Drosophila melanogaster: one gene and its partners. The protein of the gene in region 1 purifies or fractionates together with the protein of each later gene. This does not show direct contact. Each region holds a gene or a part of one and is shown on either strand. Other genes may lie near its edges. The genes, in order: Sfmbt, Mi-2, phol and HP1b.

The links.
Region 2: the proteins of Sfmbt (region 1) and Mi-2 purify together in Drosophila melanogaster (affinity purification with western blotting; one study listed by BioGRID). This does not show direct contact.
Region 3: the proteins of Sfmbt (region 1) and phol purify together in Drosophila melanogaster (affinity purification with western blotting; one study listed by BioGRID). This does not show direct contact.
Region 4: the proteins of Sfmbt (region 1) and HP1b purify together in Drosophila melanogaster (affinity purification with western blotting; one study listed by BioGRID). This does not show direct contact.

Annotation. Positions count from the first base shown.
Region 1 is NT_033779.5:13,170,780-13,178,390, reverse strand, and holds the start of Sfmbt (Scm-related gene containing four mbt domains), read left to right. Parts: upstream 1-1,634; 5' UTR 1,635-1,722; coding exon of another isoform or gene 1,723-1,854; exon of another isoform or gene 1,855-1,857; intron 1,858-1,921; exon of another isoform or gene 1,922-1,968; intron 1,969-2,008; exon of another isoform or gene 2,009-2,168; intron 2,169-2,438; 5' UTR 2,439-2,577; coding exon 2,578-2,724; intron 2,725-3,025; exon of another isoform or gene 3,026-3,114; coding exon 3,115-3,952; exon of another isoform or gene 3,953-4,164; intron 4,165-4,449; coding exon 4,450-5,748; intron 5,749-5,825; coding exon 5,826-6,075; intron 6,076-6,140; coding exon 6,141-6,652; intron 6,653-6,725; coding exon 6,726-7,078; intron 7,079-7,606; coding exon 7,607-7,611. Other genes in the region: CG5439 (uncharacterized protein), read right to left, coding at 1-1,140; CG43925 (uncharacterized protein), read right to left, coding at 1,503-1,634, 1,723-1,854. UniProt on the Drosophila melanogaster protein: Polycomb group (PcG) protein that binds to the Polycomb response elements (PREs) found in the regulatory regions of many genes.
Region 2 is NT_037436.4:19,907,182-19,911,733, forward strand, and holds the start of Mi-2 (Mi-2), read right to left. Parts: upstream 3,035-4,552; 5' UTR 2,899-3,034; coding exon 2,862-2,898; exon of another isoform or gene 2,453-2,861; intron 2,399-2,452; exon of another isoform or gene 2,017-2,398; intron 1-2,016. Other genes in the region: Prp3 (precursor RNA processing 3), read left to right, coding at 3,297-4,338, 4,393-4,552. UniProt on the Drosophila melanogaster protein: ATP-dependent chromatin-remodeling factor which acts in nucleosome-remodeling by catalyzing ATP-dependent nucleosome mobilization. Involved in regulating transcription. Plays a vital role in development.
Region 3 is NT_037436.4:9,452,303-9,458,196, reverse strand, and holds phol (pleiohomeotic like), read left to right. Parts: upstream 1-1,915; 5' UTR 1,916-2,459; intron 2,460-2,554; 5' UTR 2,555-2,657; coding exon 2,658-4,667; 3' UTR 4,668-5,394; downstream 5,395-5,894. Other genes in the region: CG3552 (uncharacterized protein), read right to left, coding at 1-208; CG3437 (uncharacterized protein), read left to right, coding at 548-603, 662-835, 895-1,431, 1,517-1,799; ghi (ghiberti), read right to left, coding at 5,754-5,894.
Region 4 is NC_004354.4:9,079,358-9,083,289, reverse strand, and holds HP1b (heterochromatin protein 1b), read right to left. Parts: upstream 2,037-3,932; 5' UTR 1,932-2,036; coding exon 1,209-1,931; 3' UTR 544-1,208; downstream 1-543. Other genes in the region: APC4 (anaphase promoting complex subunit 4), read right to left, coding at 1-49, 125-236; CG7246 (uncharacterized protein), read left to right, coding at 2,343-2,434, 2,492-2,795, 2,860-3,932.

The DNA of each region.
Region 1 (7,611 bases):
CAGGCGATTTTGAAGACTAAGCTCCGCCACACGGGTTTCCAGCAGAGCGCATCTTTCGTTTAGCTGGTTGACATGCTCTTCCAGCGCAGCTTGCTGTTGGCTGTTAGCCAAGCAATTGGCAGAGGAGGAGGACTTGCTCCACTGCGAGGAGGTGTCGCTTCGGTCTTCATAGAGCTCTGACTCTCCAACATGCGCGCCAATGTCTGGCAAGGGCGTCTTGAGAAACTCCAGCTCGGGTTCAATGGGGTCGAAGGGACCCAAGTTGACTTCTTCCTGTGGCTGGGCTAACTCCTGTTCGATGGATTCCTTGGAGAGTATTTGCTGAACCTCCACCGACTCGATGGGCTTTAGAGCACCAAGTAAATCCTCTGTGGAGCTAACGCACTCAATGGGTCGTTCCACCGCAATACCAGGTCTTTTTTGGCGTCCCACCACCGGCACTGGACTGGTGGTGAATATAATTGGTTCCTCTTTGACGGCAACACTTGGCGTCGATCTCCTGGGTGCATTAAGCTCAGTGGTGTCCACATTGAGGGCGAACAGTACATCACTGAGGGAGTCTACGATCTCTGGCAGCTTCTTGGCCGCCTCATCGTTGAGTAGCAGGGACCAAGGTGTGTAAAATCGATGCAGCTGCTCCTCGTCGCTCAGCCAGGTGAGCACATGGCTATGCAGTCGCTTCTCGTTCAGTGTGGCGCGTATGAAGGCACGTCCTCTGCCCACATTCGTCCAGATCTGCTTAAGGTCCATATACCTCTGACGTTCGTGGGGCGTCAAATGCGTCTGGCAGAATTCCCAGAAAGTGGCGTCATTGTTGTTGCTGCCTCCGCCCGCATTTCCGGACACCATCTCCTGCATGTTCTGGATGAAGCTGGCGGCGCTGAAGGAGGAAGTGCCTGCCGATTGCCTAAGTCCGTAGGACATTAGTTCCTCGAGGGATTCGCACAGTTCCTGAACAGATTCATCCCGCTCAGTGGCAAGTTCTTTGCCACTGAACTTCTGTGAGATTTTATGCGCACTTTCCTGTAGACGTCGAAAGATGTCCTCGCGCCGTTGGCCAAAGGTGCTGCCCGCCAGTTGGCTGCGCATGCTCCGGAAGCCTGCCTCTGTGGGCATCGAGCTGGATGCATTTTCTGGCATTATTTGTGGCTATTATTCAACTAATTATATTTTCTACTCATTTTTCTCACTCCGTTGTGTGCCAACACTGGTTGCTTGACAACAAAACAAGCCAAACAGTGTTGATAAGCGTTGGAATGGGCGCATTCAGATCACCGATTAATGATTTTAAGTGACTGTGACTCAGCATTAGGTGATTTATTAAAATAAAAAAATTGTTTGTAAATAATTTATGGTACCTAAAAAACTTATAAAACTATAGGTTGCGTTATCAAAACAAACCAATTATAACTGAAAGCGCTTAATTTCTCCAATTCATATTGGTAAGGTACAACGATTTCGATTAAAATTGTGTTTTTACTGAGATAAGCAGTATTGTACACTTATCGATAACAATCACTCTGCATTATTTCTCGCTGAACGCGACCACTTGTGCATCCCTGGTGATTTAGCGGGCAAAATAATGCCAAAACGCTGTTGTGCGACTGTGTAGCCCTGGCGTATAATTGCCATCCCTGCTCGCGCAAATGCGAAAGAAGTTAGCACACAAAAATCTGTTAAAAACTATTGTTAAACGATTGAAGATCCAATAATATGTCATACCGCAAGTGCTAGCAACTGGGGAAACCCAATCCGAACGCGTCCAACGTGCAAAAGTGTAAGTTTGCATCCAGGGGCAGCAACGTCGTAAATTTTCTTTTCTGTTCGCGTTGGCTGTCTGCGCAAACGCTTCATTGACTTTTCGAGATTGAACCCATGAAATGTAACCAAAAATTCTGATAAATCGGATATATGCTCGAACCTTATTCAGTTGTGTGAAACTCCACGCGGCGGCTGAAATTCCGACCGTTACGACAGGCTTCAATCGCATTTCCGTACGCTTCCCTCACCGCGCAGCATCTGCGTGCAGAAAAGGCAAAAGTAGAATGAAAAAAAAAGGAAAACGGGAACAGAAGGAGGCAAACAAAACGAACAACGAGGAACACTGGGATTCGGTCAGGATTTACAGCCCATATGGCCGGAACATTCGCCGGTTCCAGGAGCTATTCGTAACCAAACAAACTGGGAGCATTCTATGTTGCATTGTCCATAAAATTGCAGCAAGATTAGCAATCAGCGTCAAATAGATACGGAGATTTCTAAATATGAACATAATATTCTTTTAAAAATTCGAATTAGCAGGCAGCTTAAAAAGTACTAAGTAAATAACTACGTAGTTTTTAGATAGGAATAAATAGGGATTTACTTTTTAAATTCGCCCCATCTTGACCAATTTTTATTATTTCAAAACACTAAACTATTTCAATGTTTGTTTTCAGTCAATGCGAGTTCGAAAAACAAAGGAACGCGACACGCAGCAGTAGAAAGCAATACTTTTTGAAGAGAACCCAGAAAGCTGTCCCATAAATGCTTTTGCCATACTGACCAATCCGGAATCGATAGCACCATTGGCTTAAAATGAACCCATCCGAGCTGCGCATGATGTGGATGAGTAGTCAGTACAACTCGGAGCGCATTACACTGGAGGATGCGGCCACTCTGCTGGGTCATCCCACTGTTGGACTCTCTGTCATGGAGGACCTCTCCGCCCATCAGCCAACTTTGGTGAGTGCAGACGGTTTGATTCAGAAGCCAATCTCTCAATTCGAAGACTAATAAATATAAAATGCTTTCAAATGAGCATCGCGAAAACGAGATACGTGTCTATCACTAAGGCACCCCATTATATTTGATAGTCCTCGGAGTCGAAAACAAACCCAAATTCTTTAGGTTTCAACGTGTACTCCTTGGGGATTGGCCAAATTTCCAAACTATCTTTTTTGTCTGTCTCAGTTATAAACAATTGGAATTTGTTTACTTATTTCTTCTACTTTCTTTTCTTTGATTTATATATTGGTTACAATTTAAATCTCGACACAAAAACACACATAACCAATGGTCGATCCTCAACCCGAACCACCTCCAATCTCCAAAACCCACAATGCTCAAAAAAAGGACATGAATCCGATGATGAGCCTAATGGGGGGAGATTTCACTGGTCAAGCGGCGGCGACTGCTGCGGCACTGGGTGTACAGCCGGGCACCCTGATTGCCACCAACTCGAACAACCTGTACGGATTTGCCCACATGGGCGGCCTGCAGCAGCAACTGCTCCAGCAGTCGGCGGCGGCGGCAGTCTTCCAGAACTATGCGGAGGCAATGGATAACGATGTGGAGAACGGCATGGTTGGCATGGCCATGGAGGCGGTCGTGGACGATGACGACCAAGTGTACGGTCAGAGGGACAATAACTTTGATGATAATGGATCCGAGTTGGAGCCCAAGCAAGAGATTATCAACATCGACGACTTTGTGATGATGAACGAGGACAATAATTCGTACGATGGCACCGACTTTATGACCTCCTCCGATAAGGACATTTCGCAGTCCTCCTCCTCCTGCATGGCACAGATGCCCGGAAGCTTGGGCGTCCCTGGAGTCGAGCACGATCTTTTGGTTCCACTGCCCGATGGCCTGCTGCACCACAAGCTGCTGGGCACAACTCTGGTCCCTGCGATGGGTACGCTAAATGGCAATGCCTTTGGCAACATAATGGTCAGCACTGAAAACACATCCAGCAAGCAAATGCAGCGCACCTATAGTACGGCCAAGGGAGCCAATTCCACCGCAACCACCGCCACCTGCAGTGCCTCCACGTCCTCCGCATTGCGATCACAGCGCAAGACGCGCAAGATCGAGCCCGTTAACAGGCCAGGACTGGTGCTGAAGACACCCATCGCCTACAGGGGCAACATTGACCCTTCGGTGATCCCCATACAGAAAGATGGCATGGGTAAGGTTGCTGTGCACTAGAGTGGGTCGATTCTTAATTAGAACATTGCGGGCAGAAAAGTAAACGATAAGTAACGATAAGTGGTAGAGATCTTAGTTGAGATCATATATTATTAAACATCATCAGTTTGATGTACATTGAACTTATCTAAAATTCCAAAAGCCTTTGCCTTGTATTTACAATCTTTCAAGGCTTGCTCTGTCTACTAGCTTATGTATTTGATAAAGTAAATAGTTATTTCTTTCTAAGTAATTAGTAATGATTCGTTTATTTAAACAATGAAAACCACCTGTAAATCTGCAATCGATCCACTCTACACGATATTAATTTTCAAGCTTTTTATTTTAAATCCTACTCTTAGTTTCACTTATCTTTATGGTTTTGGGTTTGTTTTGCAAGAATTTGGGTTTGTATACCATGATAGCATTTAAATTAAATACGAAATTAACGTTTACATTAATATGCACTTAAACGATTCGTTTTTTCTTCTTCTACAGCTGTCTGTAAACGTTGTGGCGCCATTGGAGTGAAGCACACATTCTACACAAAATCGCGACGTTTTTGCAGCATGGCCTGTGCCCGAGGCGAACTATATTCGTTGGTACTTAACACTAAGATGGAGGGAGACCAGGCAACCACTAGTTCCCCGGATCCTGGAGCGGGTTCGGAGTCAGCCGATTTGCCTGGCGATCAGCAACAGTCGCAGTCGGATATTGAGCTCGATCTGCATGCGGCGCACATTAAGAATGCGAATTATCGTTTTCGCATTACGGATCAATCAAAGATTACCCAGTTGAATAGCTTCGGCGAACCCATGTCAATGGGCGGCGACGCAGCTGCCAATAATGTACAAATGGCAGCAGATGAAACAATTGCTGCGTTAAACGGCGGAGCAGTGGGCGATGCCACTGCTCCGGGCAGCACCGAGGAGGGTGCATCCACACCCAATTCTTATCTGAGCGCAGCACCCACGCCCAAGGCCTTGCGACTTTTTAAGGACATCTACCCACAGGATGACCTGCCGCAAATACCCAAATACGAGCGCCTTCCCGTACCGTGTCCGCAAATGGAGAAGATAATCAGCATTCGGCGGCGCATGTATGATCCCACACACTCCTACGACTGGTTGCCCCGCCTTAGCAAGGAGAACTTCAATGCGGCACCCGTCACTTGTTTTCCTCATGCACCCGGTTGCGAGGTATGGGACAATTTGGGCGTGGGCATGAAGGTTGAAGTGGAAAATACGGATTGCGATAGCATCGAAGTGATCCAACCGGGTCAGACTCCTACCTCGTTTTGGGTGGCCACCATCCTGGAAATCAAAGGCTATAAGGCCTTAATGAGCTACGAGGGTTTCGATACGGACTCGCACGACTTCTGGGTGAACCTCTGCAATGCCGAGGTGCATTCGGTGGGTTGGTGCGCCACTCGGGGCAAGCCATTAATTCCGCCCCGCACCATCGAGCACAAGTACAAGGACTGGAAGGACTTTCTGGTGGGACGTTTATCCGGAGCCCGCACCCTTCCCTCCAACTTTTACAACAAAATCAACGACAGCCTCCAGTCGCGCTTCCGCCTTGGCCTGAATCTCGAGTGCGTGGACAAGGATCGCATTTCGCAGGTGCGCCTGGCCACCGTCACCAAAATCGTGGGAAAGCGCCTCTTCCTGCGCTACTTCGATTCCGACGACGGCTTTTGGTGTCACGAGGACTCGCCCATCATCCATCCAGTTGGCTGGGCAACCACAGTAGGCCATAATCTGGCTGCACCGCAGGACTATCTGGAGCGCATGTTAGGTAATAATATTTACTTTTTCTGCATACATGTTTTTACATTACCATTTTAACATTTTACATACCATTCCTACTTCCAGCTGGTCGCGAAGCCATGATTGAGGTTCATGAGGACGATGCCACAATCGAGTTGTTTAAGATGAACTTCACCTTCGACGAATACTACAGTGACGGCAAAACCAATAGCTTTGTGGAGGGCATGAAGCTGGAAGCGGTGGATCCACTCAACCTTTCATCCATATGCCCGGCTACAGTAATGGCGGTTCTTAAGTTCGGATACATGATGATACGCATTGATTCCTACCAACCGGATGCCTCAGGGTCGGATTGGTGAGCTTTAAAAGCTTCAATTTAAGTCGGCAAATCTAAATAGCTTCTGTTGTATTTTTTTTTAGGTTCTGTTACCATGAAAAGAGTCCGTGTATCTTTCCGGCTGGATTCTGTTCCGTCAACAACATTTCGGTTACCCCACCGAACGGCTACGACTCTCGTACATTCACCTGGGAGGGTTACCTCCGCGACACGGGAGCCGTAGCCGCTGGCCAGCATCTATTTCATCGGATTATTCCCGATCATGGATTTGAGGTGGGTATGAGTCTGGAGTGTGCAGATCTCATGGATCCCCGACTCGTTTGCGTGGCCACGGTGGCGCGAGTGGTTGGTCGACTACTCAAGGTTCACTTTGACGGATGGACGGATGAGTACGACCAGTGGTTGGATTGCGAATCAGCCGATATATATCCAGTCGGATGGTGTGTACTGGTCAACCATAAGCTAGAGGGCCCACCGAGAGTAGCACATCAGCAGGCCCCGAAACCGGCACCAAAGCCCAAAATACAGCGAAAGCGAAAGCCCAAAAAGGGAGCAGCGGGAGGCAAAACTCCAACCGATAATAATACTCAGTCGGGTAAGTTTTTTTTTTCTAATCAAAGTCATTCGAATTCCTGTATATCATCATGCATCTTCAAATGTTATTCCAGTCAAATCGCGTACAATTGCGCTCAAGACCACGCCGCACTTACCCAAGCTGAGCATCAAGCTGGAGCTAAAGCCGGAGCATCACAATGCTGCCTTTTACGAGAACAATCAGCCCGAGGAGGAAGGCGACGAGGAGGATCCCGATGCGGATGGCGATGGAGACGGAAGCACCAGCCACATCTCCGAGCAGTCAACGACACAGTCGTCCAGTGATCTGATCGCTGGATCGGGCAGTGGAAGTGGGTCCGCCTCGCTGGTAACTCTCGCCACGGGCAGTAACAAAACGGTAAAGAAATCTACTACTAAATCTCCTGCGCCACCAACTGTGGGTCGCAAAGCCACTAGCTACATTGCGGTGAGTACTTAGCGGAATAATAGTGCGTAGAGTCATCCATCTAGCCAGCCAGCCTGCTTGCCCGCCTGAAGTTCAGCTCACGCATCTAAACGGGAGGTCCAAAGAGCATAGTGGTTTTTGTTTTAAACATTAATTAAATTTTATTTAGAGGAATTCCCCTTTAATTTATTTGCCTTTTTTTTTCGAAATAGAAGCATCAGCTTATACACCAAAATACTCCATATTAATCCAAGTTTGCCTTGTTTAGCTTAAGTTTTTGTTATTTCATATGAAATAGATTGTCCGACCCAACTTAAACCACTGTGCTAAAGCTCCGTAACACAACTGCATAAATGTATATAACCAAAATCAAATCGTTCATAAAACGCCAATTTGTATATAATTTAATTTACGCACTGTTATTTTTGGTACTTGCAACAGCCCCAATAGCCCCAACACACCGACATCCAATCGTTCCGTCACACACCCAACCAGCAATGCAACATCATACGTTAACTAATTAAGTCCTTATTTTTTACCCCACTATAGAACTC
Region 2 (4,552 bases), on another chromosome or scaffold:
ATAGAGCGGACTCGAACGATGCGCGTCAAATGTCAAAATCAAGAAGAACAACAAAAACCATTATCGAAGCGACCTAGTGTTGTTCTACTTGAGAGAGCGTTTTTTGAATAAAAATGAACGTATTTGAAAGCTAAAATAATATTTACTTTTCCTATTTATGTTTCATAGTTTTGTGGACTTTAAGCGCAAGTAAACTTTTTCGAAATGCCAGCACACACATACCATTTACCAATTATACAAGCATATATATTTATAAAGATATGTATATGTATATACATGGCGGATATAAAAAAGCACCACTTGTTGTTGACTTGATTGAATGCAGTGCGTGCGAGCGGGATGGCAAGTTGTGTTTCGCCAAAGCAAGGTAAGATCGTCACCAATACACCAGTAACTGCAGCTCACATACACACACAGTATACTTTCACTTCTTGTATTGAATTTTTGATTTTATTTGTGCTGGCGCCATGTTGTTGTTGTTAGACATGGGGTTTTAAGCAGATTTATGCAGTCGGCAACAGCGAAGCTTTTGATAAAAAAATGACAAGAATGCTCAGATTAACAACGAAAAAATCAAATTATTTGGATCTTTTGAAGATACAAAGTTGCGGTAATGAATGTCATTATTATTAATACATTTGATCGATATGTGCTTTAATTGCATGAAACATTGAAACGGTGTCAAATGCCATTGCGTATTTCTTGCTGTGTACGTAGGAAAAATGCATACGTCATTGCCGAAACCTTCTTATCCCTCTCACACCCTTTTATTGTTGCATTACTGCATAAATAGTGGCACTCATACATGTGCATCGTTTTAGCCTTTTGTAATTTATGCGATGTCGCATTACTCTTGATTGTTTACTTGTGGTAGAGTAATCGGAAATCGGATGGCAATGTTAAAGTAAACAATTTTAAAGACAGCATAGCGCAGCAAATCATAAAAATTATCACAGAACCGGCAAATGGTGAAATTAGGAAGAAGAAAAATGGGGAAGAACCAACGTTGGCTGACGTCACAAACGTGAGGGAAAAGACAGAGCGAATTAAGCATCCTCCTATCGATGTATCGAAGGATAACGGCAGCGAATCCAATTAGAATGAGCACCGAAGGACGGGGAGGGGAACGTGTTAAAATTAGACATTGAATTCTACTCCCACGCTATTTCTCTAGGATAACTTCCTCACGCACGCACACCGTATACATATACATACACACGCCCACAGTGCAACAGCGTCGAACGGAGAAGCAGAAGAGAGGCGAATGAGGGCAGGGACAGAAGAGAGAAGAGGCCTGTAGACAGAAGAGGAACAGCTGCGAACGAATTAACATAAATTGTATGCAAAATTGGGGTGGCTATGGATACTGCTGCTTTTTGTTACACAGCGGCGGCATATTGTTTATCAGTTTTCCTATGAACTACTACTACATTCCAGCAATTTCCTCGCGAGACGGGCACCTTCCCATCCCATCCCTTGGCATCGTCTCTTTTCCACACTCTACTTTTCTCCTTCTTCATCTTACTTGTGTGTTGGCATATTTTGATTAACTCGTTAAAAAGACTATACTTTAGTTGTTTTGCAGGCACTTCGGTAGGATTGCATTGGTAGCTATATTTTTGTTGTTGTTTTTAACTAAATTTAATTTAAACGCGTCGGGTTTCTGTGAGTTTTTTTTTATCATATACGTTGGAGCGACAGAGACGGGGCGACGGCGACGTTTGGCTGGAGCGCGCGTGCATAACACGCACACACACAGAGACGCAAGTACGCGAGAGAGTGGAGAAATCAATCAAGAGAGCACGTCGGCGAAGGGGGAGTGGAAAAAATCACATATGTATGTGCGTCAGTGGAAGTGCGACAAGATTTTCCACAATATTCCACGCATCTTTGTTTCGTTTCTTTAGATATATGCACATATTGCTTCGTTTTCTTTTTGCATTGCTTTCTTACACAATTTATAATATATATATGCATATTTTGTGGTAATTTCAGGTTTTTATTTTTTGCACACACTTTTCATCATTCTTTTTTCGCTTTTCCTTCAGTTGGATATATTACGCACTGGATTTGTGGCTTTACACTGGCAATCGGTAGGCGGTGGCGAGTAATGCACGTATTCCCCTTAATTAACAGTTTTCTCTACAATTAATAATGTAATCTCTTTAACAAAAACTCAGAAATCACGTCATGGCTGCCACGTCCAAGCAACAATGAATGTAAATGGTGGCAGATGAGGCCGTCTGGGCATTCTCGACTAGCTCCAAAAGGGGCACACTATTTTTCTGGTGATACCATTGCACAGCCGATGATAACACTGCATATACGGTAACACCACAATAAGTGTGAACTAAAATGAATTTTCCGTATATTACAATTGACACTTGACAATTCACAGGTAAAGTAAACATCTTAATTGCTAAAGAACTTAAGATAAAACTTAATTTTAAAGGATTTACAGAGTATTCCACTCAAAACTTTCGACCAAAACAACCATGTAAAACATATGTTTTGATGAGTGAGCAGGACGTCTATATATTGCCTGCATTCGCGAATGGAGGGAACACAAAAATGCAATAAAAAATATGTGTGGAATGGAGGAGGCGCAAAAGACCCCAAAAAAACGCGCCACACATGTACAAATTTCACCAATTGCTGTAATACAAATAGTTTATAACGAGGTACAGCAATGACAATGACCAATTAGGATAATAGGCAACAATAAACAATGGGAGGGGGACGCAGCACGCTGCGCGGCTTTGCGGCTCTTGAACATGACCACGGTTCTTAGCCTGACCGAGCGACGGTCGGACCGAGTTTTTTTCACGCCGACATTTGGCCGACTGAAACAATGCACTTACCCTGGAAATTATCGTCATTCTCTTCCTCCGATGCCATTGTAGCACTCGAATGCAACTTTTACACTGTTTGAGCACACGAAATTGTCTTAATTTCCACAACAAATAATTAAGCACACACAGACACGACGAGAAAAAAATAGTCAATTGTAAGCGGCTTCAACAAATATGGCGGAGCGGAGAGCGACAAAAAGTGAGAGAACTAGGGTTGCACCCCGATAAAAGAAAGCGAAACGGTCACACTGGCGACATGACAACCCTGACTTTTATGTTTTTTTAACGACCCTGTCCTAACGTGTTTCGGAGAATTTTTCACCAAAGACCAAAAACCTTGTGTATTGTTTTTGAATTGCAAATCGCTGATTTAAGCTCAAGGAATGTGCCAAGCAGTTGGTAAATAACATTTACTTTTTAGTCCGACCCATTTAATTGCGAATTATGTCGTCCATTATCACGCGCAAGGATGGCGACGACCAGAAATTGTCCAAAAAGCGCGCTGCCGCCTCAGATTCCAAAAGTGGTGGTGGAAGCGCCCTTGAAGCGCCCAAGAAATCCCGCTTCGATGTCCCGGAAAAGAATGGCGGCGGTGGTGAGAAGAAAGAAGAGGTCGCCGTGCCCGCCTCGCTGAGTTCCACGCAGATCAAGCTGATGATGGCCCATGCCCAGCGGGAGATCGAGGAACGCAAGCGGGCCCTGAGTAATCTAAGAGACAAGGATCCGCTGCTGGCGTCAGTTCCATCGATCGGAATGCCAGTTGCCTTAGCCACTCAAGCGCTGGCGAAGAAGCCCACGCCCGAGGACTCGGAGAAGGCCAGGAAGATTGCCGAGTTGCAGGCACAGATCAGGGCCAAGCTTACTGGCAATTTGGCTAGTTTGATTCAGCCCACTGCGGTAGCGGCCGCCGCTGCAGCTGCTGCTCAAGCGCAGGAGCGACCCAAACCCCTGATTCTGGACGATGAAGGACGCACTGTGGACAAGAGCGGACGTACCATTAATATTCCCACGGTGACACCTACATTGAAAGCCAACATACGCGCCAAGAAACGGGAGGTGTTCCAACGCCAAACGGGTTTGGGTGAACGGAGTGAATCGGGCACTTCGGCCCAGGAAGAAGCTATTAAGTACTTTGACGACCGCATAGCCCTGAAGCCCACTGTTAGAACCAAGAGGACGTTGAGATTCCACGAGCCCGGAAAGTTCCAGCAGCTGGCCGAACGAATGCGCATGAAAAGCCAGCTGGAGCGACTACAGAATGAGATTTCGCAAATAGCCCGGAAAACGGGCATCTCGTCGGCCACCAAACTGGCATTGATTGCCCCCAAGCAGGACATGCCGGACGATGTGCCTGCCATGGAGTGGTGGGACTCAGTTATACTGACCCAGGATCTGGAGACGGTAGACGACGCAAGCGGTAAGATAAGCATACGCCAAACAGCCATAACCAACCTTATAGAGCATCCCACACAAATGAAGCCGCCAAGTAAGTTGAAAGCTAGAACATGTCCCACAAGCAACTAACCACCTACTCCTTCAGATGAGCCCTTGAAACCAGTGTATCTGCCGGTTTTCCTCACAAAGAAAGAGCGCAAAAAGCTTCGTCGCCAGAACCGTCGCGAGGCCTGGAAGGAGGAGCAGGAGAAGATCCGACTGGGTTTGGTGGCCCCACCAGAGCCGAAACTGCGCATATCCAACCT
Region 3 (5,894 bases), on another chromosome or scaffold:
CCTTGCTCATGGTTCGCCTACGGACCGGTCGCTTTACCTCCTGGTCCTCTTTTTGCCTGCAATCCGCGGATCGGAGGACTACCAGCGGCAGCAGAGTTGCAACCTTCAGCGAAAACCTGTTGCTAAAGCCGGCGGCTATAAAACTGCTGTATTTTTGGGCAACATATCGGTTGAATCGAAAGAAGGCTGCGAAATGCCGCGAAAACATTTCGTTTTGTGCTGGGCAGGGAAAAACAAACTGAAAATTTAGTACAATTTTAAGGCCCAGACAACCTGACAACCCAGACCGCCCAGACAGCTGATTGCTGACTTCAGCGGCGTGGCAAGAGGGTTAAAAAAAAAAACGAGTCAGCGCGTTCGTTTTTATAAATATGGATCCTAATAAAGTCCCAATTTCGGAATTTTATTAGTTAGAAGCTGGCGTACGAGATTTAAGAAGCATATTTTATTTTCTGAACCCCATTAAAAAATTTGAGCTACGCCTTTGATCCAAAAGACCTGCATCCCTGGTTTGTTTGCTGCTGAAATTGGCTGCATTCATCAACAAATGGCCCAAGTTCGAGGATCTTGCGAAAGTTTCTGTCCCGATGGGGAGGCGAAAATGTAGGTAAACGAAATTTAAACCCGAATTTAATATAATAACACCGTTTAATACATTCAGGCGTATTCGCGAGAAGCTTTTGCACTATTTCGAGCTAAAAAATGGCCAGAAGAACAAGCCAGGAGTCCTGGTCAAGGAGTTTACACGCTCCGCCGCCGATGTCAAGATGCCCATGCCCAAGGAAATGCGCACAGAAGCGGCATTGACCAAAACAGTGGAATATCTGCTCAAGGAGCAAGTATATTAGGCGCTTAGTTAGCCAAGTTAAATCTGATAATTAATATACTGTGCAGCATAATCCTGGACACACGAAAGCCGTACAATGTGGCTTACGACTTCATATTCGATCGATTGAGGGCGGTGCGTCGGGAGATCGTGATCCAGATGTACGATGCCAGTCAGAAGATTTGCCTGTTAGAGCCCATTGTGATGTTTCTGGCATATAGTCGCTATCGCTTGTGTGAGGAGCCCATCGAGAAGTTCGATCTCAAGATATGCAATCAGCATTTGCAAGAGTGCCTCACGGGAGTGCTTTGCTGTTACGAAGAACTGGAGGACTTGGAATCATCTAGAGAACCCACCGTTCGTGAGCTTGAGCGGCGCTGCTTCATAGAGAGCCTGTATCAATTGTTTAATCTGGGTTCTCCCGAGTCCTTTACACGCGCCCTCACCTTACCGGACTATGTGCGTCGGGATGCGACGTTTAAGCTTTGTTTTGGGATCTGTTTGGCCTTCCAACAGGGCAATTTGTATAGAGTGCTCATGGGTGTGCCACAATTGCCGCATATTCTGTGCGCGGTAGCTGCCGCCAAGTTGCAGGTGATAAGGAGGTACAGTATAACTTTTTCTATTGGATCTCTTATTGACATGATGCATTTTTAATGTAAATACATATGTATGTATGTATATTTGCAGGAGTTTGTTGCAGATTTTCACGCATGCCTACAACAACAAACAGCTTACGGTGCCGGTTCCTTACTTGTTGCGTTTACTGTTGTTCGATGGGCCAACAGGATTGCAGGACCAATGTCGGCATTATAATATATCCTTAACAGCGGATAGGAAGGCGGTGCAATTTAATAAGACTGATTTTAACCACAATGCAGAGGTATTTACACCCCAACACGAGCGCTTTGTGGAGTCGAAGCTGAAGCGTATTTATATTCCAGAAGTTCTATTGCTAAAGAAATTTAACTAGTTATTTATGAGCAACAATTGTAAATAGCTCGAAATAATAGTAAAGCCATGGAGATTAATTTATTGTTATTGCGCATTTGTTTTCTTGTCGGGTGGCAACCCTGGTGGCAGAACAACAAACCTATCGCTTATCGAAAGACAGAACGCCGCGGTATTTACAGCTAATAAATGGTTTGCCAGTTGGAGGTTAATAAAATGCAATTTTTGAATAGTAGTTAAGATTACATTTGTGCTGTTTTGCGAAGTAATGCGAAGAGAATAACCAATCTCCGCTGAATAAACCGCTTAAGATATACACAAAGCGCGCGCAGGGTTGCATTGTGGCGCCTGTCGCTGCACACTACACACACACACACCCCACACACGCAACGCGAGAGAAAGTACCGAGCCGTTTCTGGAAAATACAATTCCGCCATATTAACCGGCAAAATTCAAAATATTTACACTGCCCGAGGTGAGCGGGATCGAGGTGGTCATCCAAAGCGAGAATTAACCCGCCATTGGGCAGCAGGAGAGTGGCGGGCGGAGCGGAGCGAGCGGTACGCATCATTCGCCGTCTGCCGCCGCCGTCGCACAATAAACGATAGGCATTGGCCACAAAAAAGTGGAAAAAGAGGTGGAGGGAAAGGCCAGTTCAGTGCAGCAATACCGACGAAAACACGTACGTTTGTCCACTTTGGAAGTCTGGCGAATATATAGAGATATATACATAATACGGATTTTTGGCCAGATACTAATTGCCCACTTTTTCCGCAGCGCGCTCGCACACACAACACTAACACTCACGCACGAAGCAAGAGCGCCCACAAATACAAGCATACAGATACAGGCACACAGACAGGCAGACGGAGCAGCCGCGATGACAAGTCATCATCATCACGTCGGCGTCGGAGGGAACTTCCAGCCTCAACTGCATCAGATACGAGCGCCCATCGTGAAGAATCTATCGCTGGCCGCTGCGGCGGTACCGTTGCCCCTGCACTCCGCCCCGTCGTCGGCATACTTCACTCATGCACACCAGCCTACGGCGGCTACCATAGTCGAGCAAGATCCGTACACCGTTTTGGCGGGCGATCCGATGGGCGAGGAAAGCGAGAGCTTCCTGATCGAGGAGATCATCGACGACTATGATGATGAGGCTAATATCGTCGTAGACTCAGGCGAATTCTTTGAGCACTATGAATACTATCCGGTGGATCGGCTGGACAGACTTACCTCGGTCACGGTGGCTACGGCAGATGCACTGCCGCCGCCGATCATCATGCAGCAGACCAGCGACGATGAGGAATTCATCGAGGAGGATGGACAGCAGATGACATCCTCCTGCGATGGCGATGGCGATGAGGATGATGAGGCTACCGCGCCGGCTACGACAAATGCCTTCGAGATTGCCTCCGAGATGCTAACCACCATCGAGGCCACAAACATCAAGGAGGAGCAGCTCGAGAGCGACTTCTATATGAAGGCGACCGAGGATTCAAACAGTTCGAATGGCCAGCTGCAGGATTTTAAGCTATTTGGAAGCAGTCGCGTCGAGAGGCCCATGGGAAATTCAGCGGCCAAGCGCTGGAAGCAAACAAAGGTACCCATACGCATAACGCAGGATGAGTTCAATGTCACCCTTTGGTCCTCGCTCAACTCGGAGGATGAGGACGAGGAGGAGGAGTTGGAGGAACCACCTGGTTGTGCTGGCACCACATCCGTGACGTCCTCCTCCGCCGCCCAGAATGAAGGATCACCCAGCATGCCAAAGCTTATTATTGACGAGCACATGATCAACCACGATGTTTTAAGCGATGGCATCGGCAACGAGTACGTCATCCTACCCGATCCATTCAGCGCCTCTGCGGTCACGGATGTGGAGGAGGTGGTTAATGCATTTATGGGCGATGTCAAAGGCGAGGAGGACAGCCAGCCGCTAAGTGAACAGTTGATCTATGCGGAAAACCAGTTGGAAGAAGCTTATGGTAACATCGAGCTTATCGAGAACATGCCGAATAATGTGGAGCTGATACAGACACCGGGACCAGGTCCAGCCACTGTGTCGGTAGCGCTATCGAAGGTCAACGGATGTGTACCGAATCCACAGCCGGCTCTCCCAAAACTAGTGCTCCAGAACAGCAGCACCAATGTGCGACTGAAAAGTGCGGGAAATCAGTCAAAGGTGACAAAGAGGCAACTCACGGCGGCGGCTCAGGTGGCGACACCAAATCCCCCACCGCCACTAGTGGCTTCCAGCAATCCAGCCCGACCCCAACGACCCACAATTGTAACCAAATTACCGACTGCAGTGGCCAATCAGACGGCTGGTAATGCCATGGGAGCAGCTGGCGCGGCCGGCGAAGAGGATGAGGAGCCAAAGTTTCGCTGCACCCATCGCGGCTGCAACAAGGAGTTTCGCAACCACTCGGCCATGCGCAAGCACATGCACACGCACGGACCGCGCGGTCATGTGTGCAACGTCTGCGGCAAGAGCTTTGTAGAGAGCTCCAAGCTAAAGCGCCACCAGCTGGTGCACACCGGCGAGAAGCCCTTTGAGTGCACCTTTGAGGGGTGCGGCAAGCGCTTCTCGCTGGACTTCAATCTGCGCACCCACGTACGGATACACACTGGCGATAGGCCCTACCACTGTCCCATTGATGGCTGCTCCAAGTGCTTCGCCCAGTCAACGAACCTCAAGTCCCACATGCTGACGCACACGAAGCCCAAAAGGAAGTGGCCGCGCGCACCGCAAGTGAGCAACAACAAGACACCGCTGGTGGCCAGATACGGGCGACTGGAGTTTGGCGAGGATCCTCGTCTAGTGTACGTAGAACAGAACGAGGAGGTGGCGTCGGTGCTGCTGGATGGCACGTCCCTAACATCCTAACTAGTAGTGCGCTTTAATGTGTGGCAGGTATTGGCATGAGATGGTTAAAATATTAAAGCTCCTTTGGCTCCGGAAGGCATTATTGTACAGTTAGTTGTAGCCAGTTTTTATCTGTATCTGTAACCTGTAACGAGCGGAGCGGCCGGACAAGATTGTCACCTGGTGAACACATCCGCCCGCTGCCCGCCCTTTAAGTAAGTAGTGTAAGTTCATTCTCTAACAAAATAGGATTGCAGTGCAAAAGGAAGTTAGATGGTAGCCATTAATTAATTTCCTTCACGGATGAAGAGCAGTTCTAAGAGTTTAGCTTGTACCGTAGGCTAAGTGAGTCCCCCCGCAAAACCAAAACTGAACCGTAATCCCCGAAGAACTCAGCCAAACTGTCACCTTAAAAAGCCCCAATTTGATCTGATACTAATCGTGTGCGATCTTCGCTCGAATAACAAAACGCGCACTTTCTTTTCTACGAAAACAAAACAAACAAAAAAATAAGAAAAATACACAAAACTAGTTTTACCATATTCAATACGCATACACCATAGGCTATCTATATATTTTTGTAATGAATTATAACACTTAGAGCATTGAAGTACGGATTTAGCATGTTCAACGTCTGTTGGCGCTAACAATAATTCACAAATGGAAGCACATCAGTTAAGTCGGAATAAACAAGGGAAATACCTCTTCAAAATTAAACAAAAATAAACCAGGAAAACAATGCAACAACACTTGCGTATATCATTTATCATTTCTTTTTTTAACTATTTCACAGTGCGATTGTGTAAGCGTTAGATTTATTAACTGACTTTAAACTTGTAACTACTGCTAGATAACTACATTAAACGGTGAGGCAGCTATTGATGGACAGTCGCCGGGTGTTGTCCACTTCAGATTCGGATCAGCAAGCGATTAGATCGCCTCTTTGGACATGTGTCGCCTACAGCTACGTTCCATTCATTGATTGCGGTGTATAAACGCGTGCGGATTAGATAAAGCATCGCGGCGAGGTACAGATACGCGGCTATTTTGGATATTGGAACGGAGAACAGTACACACGATTGGTCTGGGCATGGTCTGATCGGTATTTTAGGTGACCTTGAGCCCATGTCCTTGAACTCCGGGAATAATATCCGCGATGGAGGCACTTGTTGGGCCAATCAATCCGGCCAGCGAGAGCAGCACGGAGTAGTTGAAGTACCAGAAAACGCAGAAGAGTACCATGAAAAT
Region 4 (3,932 bases), on another chromosome or scaffold:
GGAAAGGTGACAATCTTTTGCCAGTTCAGACGCTGGATGACCACCTCACCTATCCACATGATTGGGATAAGCCCACTGGCAGTTTATTTGGTGATTCTTGGCAATTTCGGAGGCAGACGCTCACCCTTTTCCGTTCCGTAGGCAATTAGATCCATCTTGTTGTTCCACTCCATACGCTCCACAATGCAGGACATGTTGCGGGCGCCCAGCAACTTCATGGAGCTCGTTTGTGCCATCTTTCCACGCTAGAATTGGCTCGCGGCGTCTCTACTGTGCATCAAATATTTCAATATAATAATTTTAGTTTACACTTTGCCGGCTCCTGTTGCAGTCTATCGAATAATATTCCTGCTATCGATCAGAGATGAGCGGAAATAGTAGCTATTACAAATTGGTTTCTCCAATTCTTCAGTCATTTTTGACATTTTATTTGATTTTTGTCAAATGTTTAAACAAAATATTTGTATTAAAACTTCGGGACAGCGAGAAAGAATGTGTATTTATGATTGAAACTTCTTAGATATTTGTACTTATGCACGGCATGGCAAATTATCTGCCAGCACAATTTTGTTTTATTCGTACTTTACTTTAGTCTTACAAACCTACATAGTTTTAAAAGCTTTTGTTTGGAACACATAATGATTTGCGAAACAATGAAAAAATCGGGAAAATCTAAATTAATCGATCTTAATAACTGCCTGTTAGGAAAAAATCTCAAATTCTGGCTATAAAGGCGCTAGGTGGGCAGCACAATTGGCGTCTTTTGATTTCCACACAAAAATATTGGCAATTTCAATGTGTTTTTTTTTAACTTAAAGTGTTAGAAAGCTGGATAGTTGTTAAGATAGAAAGGTGGTCCTTCAGTCTGAGTCGTTCCTCATTGATCAGGTTAAGCGTAGTTTAGGCCAATTGTATTTAACACTGTGATGTTATATGCTTATAAAACATTTATGTGGGTCAAAAATAAAGGTAGATGTTAAAAACAATTTTACAATTGAACTTATAGATTAAGTATGTATATATATGTATATGTATATATGTATATGTATATACTACCGCTGACTGACGCCAGAACTTCAGTTTGTCCAATTTTTTTATCTTAAGGGCTACGCTACGAAATATGTATGTACATATATCGTATAAAGCCGGTGTGTATGTATCCACATAAGCGAGTGAATCCGAAACAGTCATCTGTATCTGCCACTCAACTAGTCATCCGCATCCGGCTGTCCGTTGTCCAGCTCACTACTCTCGTCCGGCTTGATATTCTCGTCTTGATTGATGCTGCCAATGGGGCTGGCCGGTTCGGGATCCTCCTCGTCACCGCCATCTATATTGCTGCCGCCACCGGTGGTGCCAACGCTGCCGGGAGCAGTATCATCGCCGGCCCCACTGCCGCCGACGGAGCCCAGGCCACCGGATGATCCCAAATTGACGGAATTCGTATTCCCATTACCATTGCCGCTGCCCGTGTGCCAGGTGAGGCGCTCCTCATAGAACTGTATGACCACCTGGGGGCATCGAGTGTTGGCCAGCTTGGCGGGCACAAGGTCGGCGTGATCGCTGCCCTTCCACTTCATGAGGAACATTAGGTGCCCGGATGAGTCGGTGGCGCCCAGTATTTTTGATGCCTCCAGACCGCGCTCAAAGCCGATCAGCTTCTTCTGCTCCTCGGTATCGTCCTCCAGGAAGCTCTTGCGCTTGCTGCGTATGGATTCGGGTGTGGAGGAGGTGGACAGGCGTTTCTTTGTCTCCTTCTTGTTGTTCTTCAGCGACTCCTCGAAGTTGGCTATCAGGTCTGGACAGTCGAGATTCTCCACCGGCTCCCAGGTGTTTTCGCTGCGCGGATAGCCCTTCCACTTTAGATAGTATTCCGTTCGTCCGTTCACCGTTCGCTTGTCCTCGACGCGTTCCACTGAGAATTCGGCCATTGTGCTTTTACGCTAATTGTGTTATTCCAACTGCGAATTTTGTTATTTTCTTGGCGTCCAAAACTTATTTATACGTGCGATTAAAGAGATTGAAGAAGAAGAAGAAATCAAGATGGCAACTCCATGGTCTCGCCATCGGCAACTATCGCTCTCTTGGCCAGTAAACGCATTTTAATTAAAAAGCTGAAACTTTAAAAACTTTACAATTGTAATTTTATCATTATCTCTTGACCATTTTTAAATTTTGACATATATATATATTTTTTTTAAATTACCCTTTCTACCATCCCTGTCAGCGATAACTCTCCAGAAATTGGACAATCGATAAACGGCCGTTGCGTTGCACGTGCGCTAGTTTTTAAAGAAATAAACAATATTACTAAGTACGATTAAGGAGAAAACTAAGCAAATATGGCCGAGTTCATAGCTGAGATGCAGGAGCGCCTGCTGCCGGAATACGAGCAGATGAAGAACTACAGCGTATTCACAGCGGATCAGGTCAGGTGAGAAATCCAAACGAATTTGGAGTCTGTGCCCCCATTTCATCCATATTCTTGCAGAGAAATCGTTAGCAGGCGGGAACGCTTGTTCCTTAAGATCAACAAGAGCCACCAGAGCATCACCGACTACCTGGACTTCATACTGTACGAGAAGCACATGCACATGACCATCGTGGACAAGGAAAAGAAGATGCACGTTAAACTCACCGGTCTAAAGGCCTCCATAGCCACGCGGATCATGCGCCTGTACAGAGAGGCCTTGGCTAAGTTTAACCACGACAGACGGCTGTGGAGCAACTGGATCAAGTTCAGCAGGAAGTCAAATCCTGTCGAGGTGGCGGGCATATACGAGAAGATGCTGCTGGTTAGTATTTGCCAGCCTGCTCACTTCCATTGATTACTTATCCATTGTTGTTATTCTTTTGCAGTACCATGGCGACTCGCCGGATCTTTGGGTGGACGCCGCCTTATGGCTGTACGAGTTCAATCGGCTCAACATCGATCGAGTCAAGGACATCCTGCTGCGTGGCTTGCAGAGACATCCGGATTCCGAGGCACTTAACAAGTGCTTCTTTGACATTATGCTGAAAGAGGCTGCCCTGGCCAGCAACGAACGCAATTTAGCCGAGAATACGCTCTCGGAACAGGACATCAAATTGGAACGCGTGGAGGCGGTCTACCGCAACAGCATGGCCAATATTACCCAATTGGACTACTTTGTTAAGCTTCTAGAAAGCTGTGAGGATCATCAGGAGCTGACGGGCAAGCTGCAGCGAATGATAATCGATGATATGCAAGAGAAGTTCCCCCGGGAGCCGGGCCTGTGGGATTTGCTTGCCCAGCGAGAGTTGCGCGGCTTTCATCTGGGCGACCTGGAGGAGGAGGACTTGGATACCAGTGACGAAGAGCCGGCCAGCAAGAAATCTCGTTCCGTAAATGGCCGCTCTCTCAAGCGACGCATTCAACTCTGCGTTACTGTATACAAATCGGCGGTGGAGGAGCTGCAAACGACAGAAATGTGGAATATGTATTTGGATGCCATGCTGGCACTCAATAGCGATGGAAAGACGGAGCGTATACTAAAGCAACAGTGCCTAGCGGATGCCTTGCAGGCGGGCCATCGCTCTCAGTTGATGGGCGTGAAACACTATGCCACATTAAGAAAGATGCTCTGCACTGCTCCGAGTGGAAGGGAGGCAGCTGTCACCATACTCACGGAAGCCCTGAAAAACGATTCATCGGTGGAGATGCACGAGCTTCTTCTGGCCACGCACATTCAAAGCGACAGTGAGCCCTTGATCTATGAGCTATTCAACAAGATCCAGAAGAGCATGGGCAGTGAGGCGTTGCCGCTGTGGCGCAGTGTCATTCTGTATTATCGCACTCGGCAGGATAGCTTGGGCGCACGCCGGCTGGATGAGATCTACGGTCTCGCCTGCAAGGCTGCGTGGCCGGAATTTGGTGAGCTGCGCTCCGATTATTTGCGCTATCTGTGGCAGGA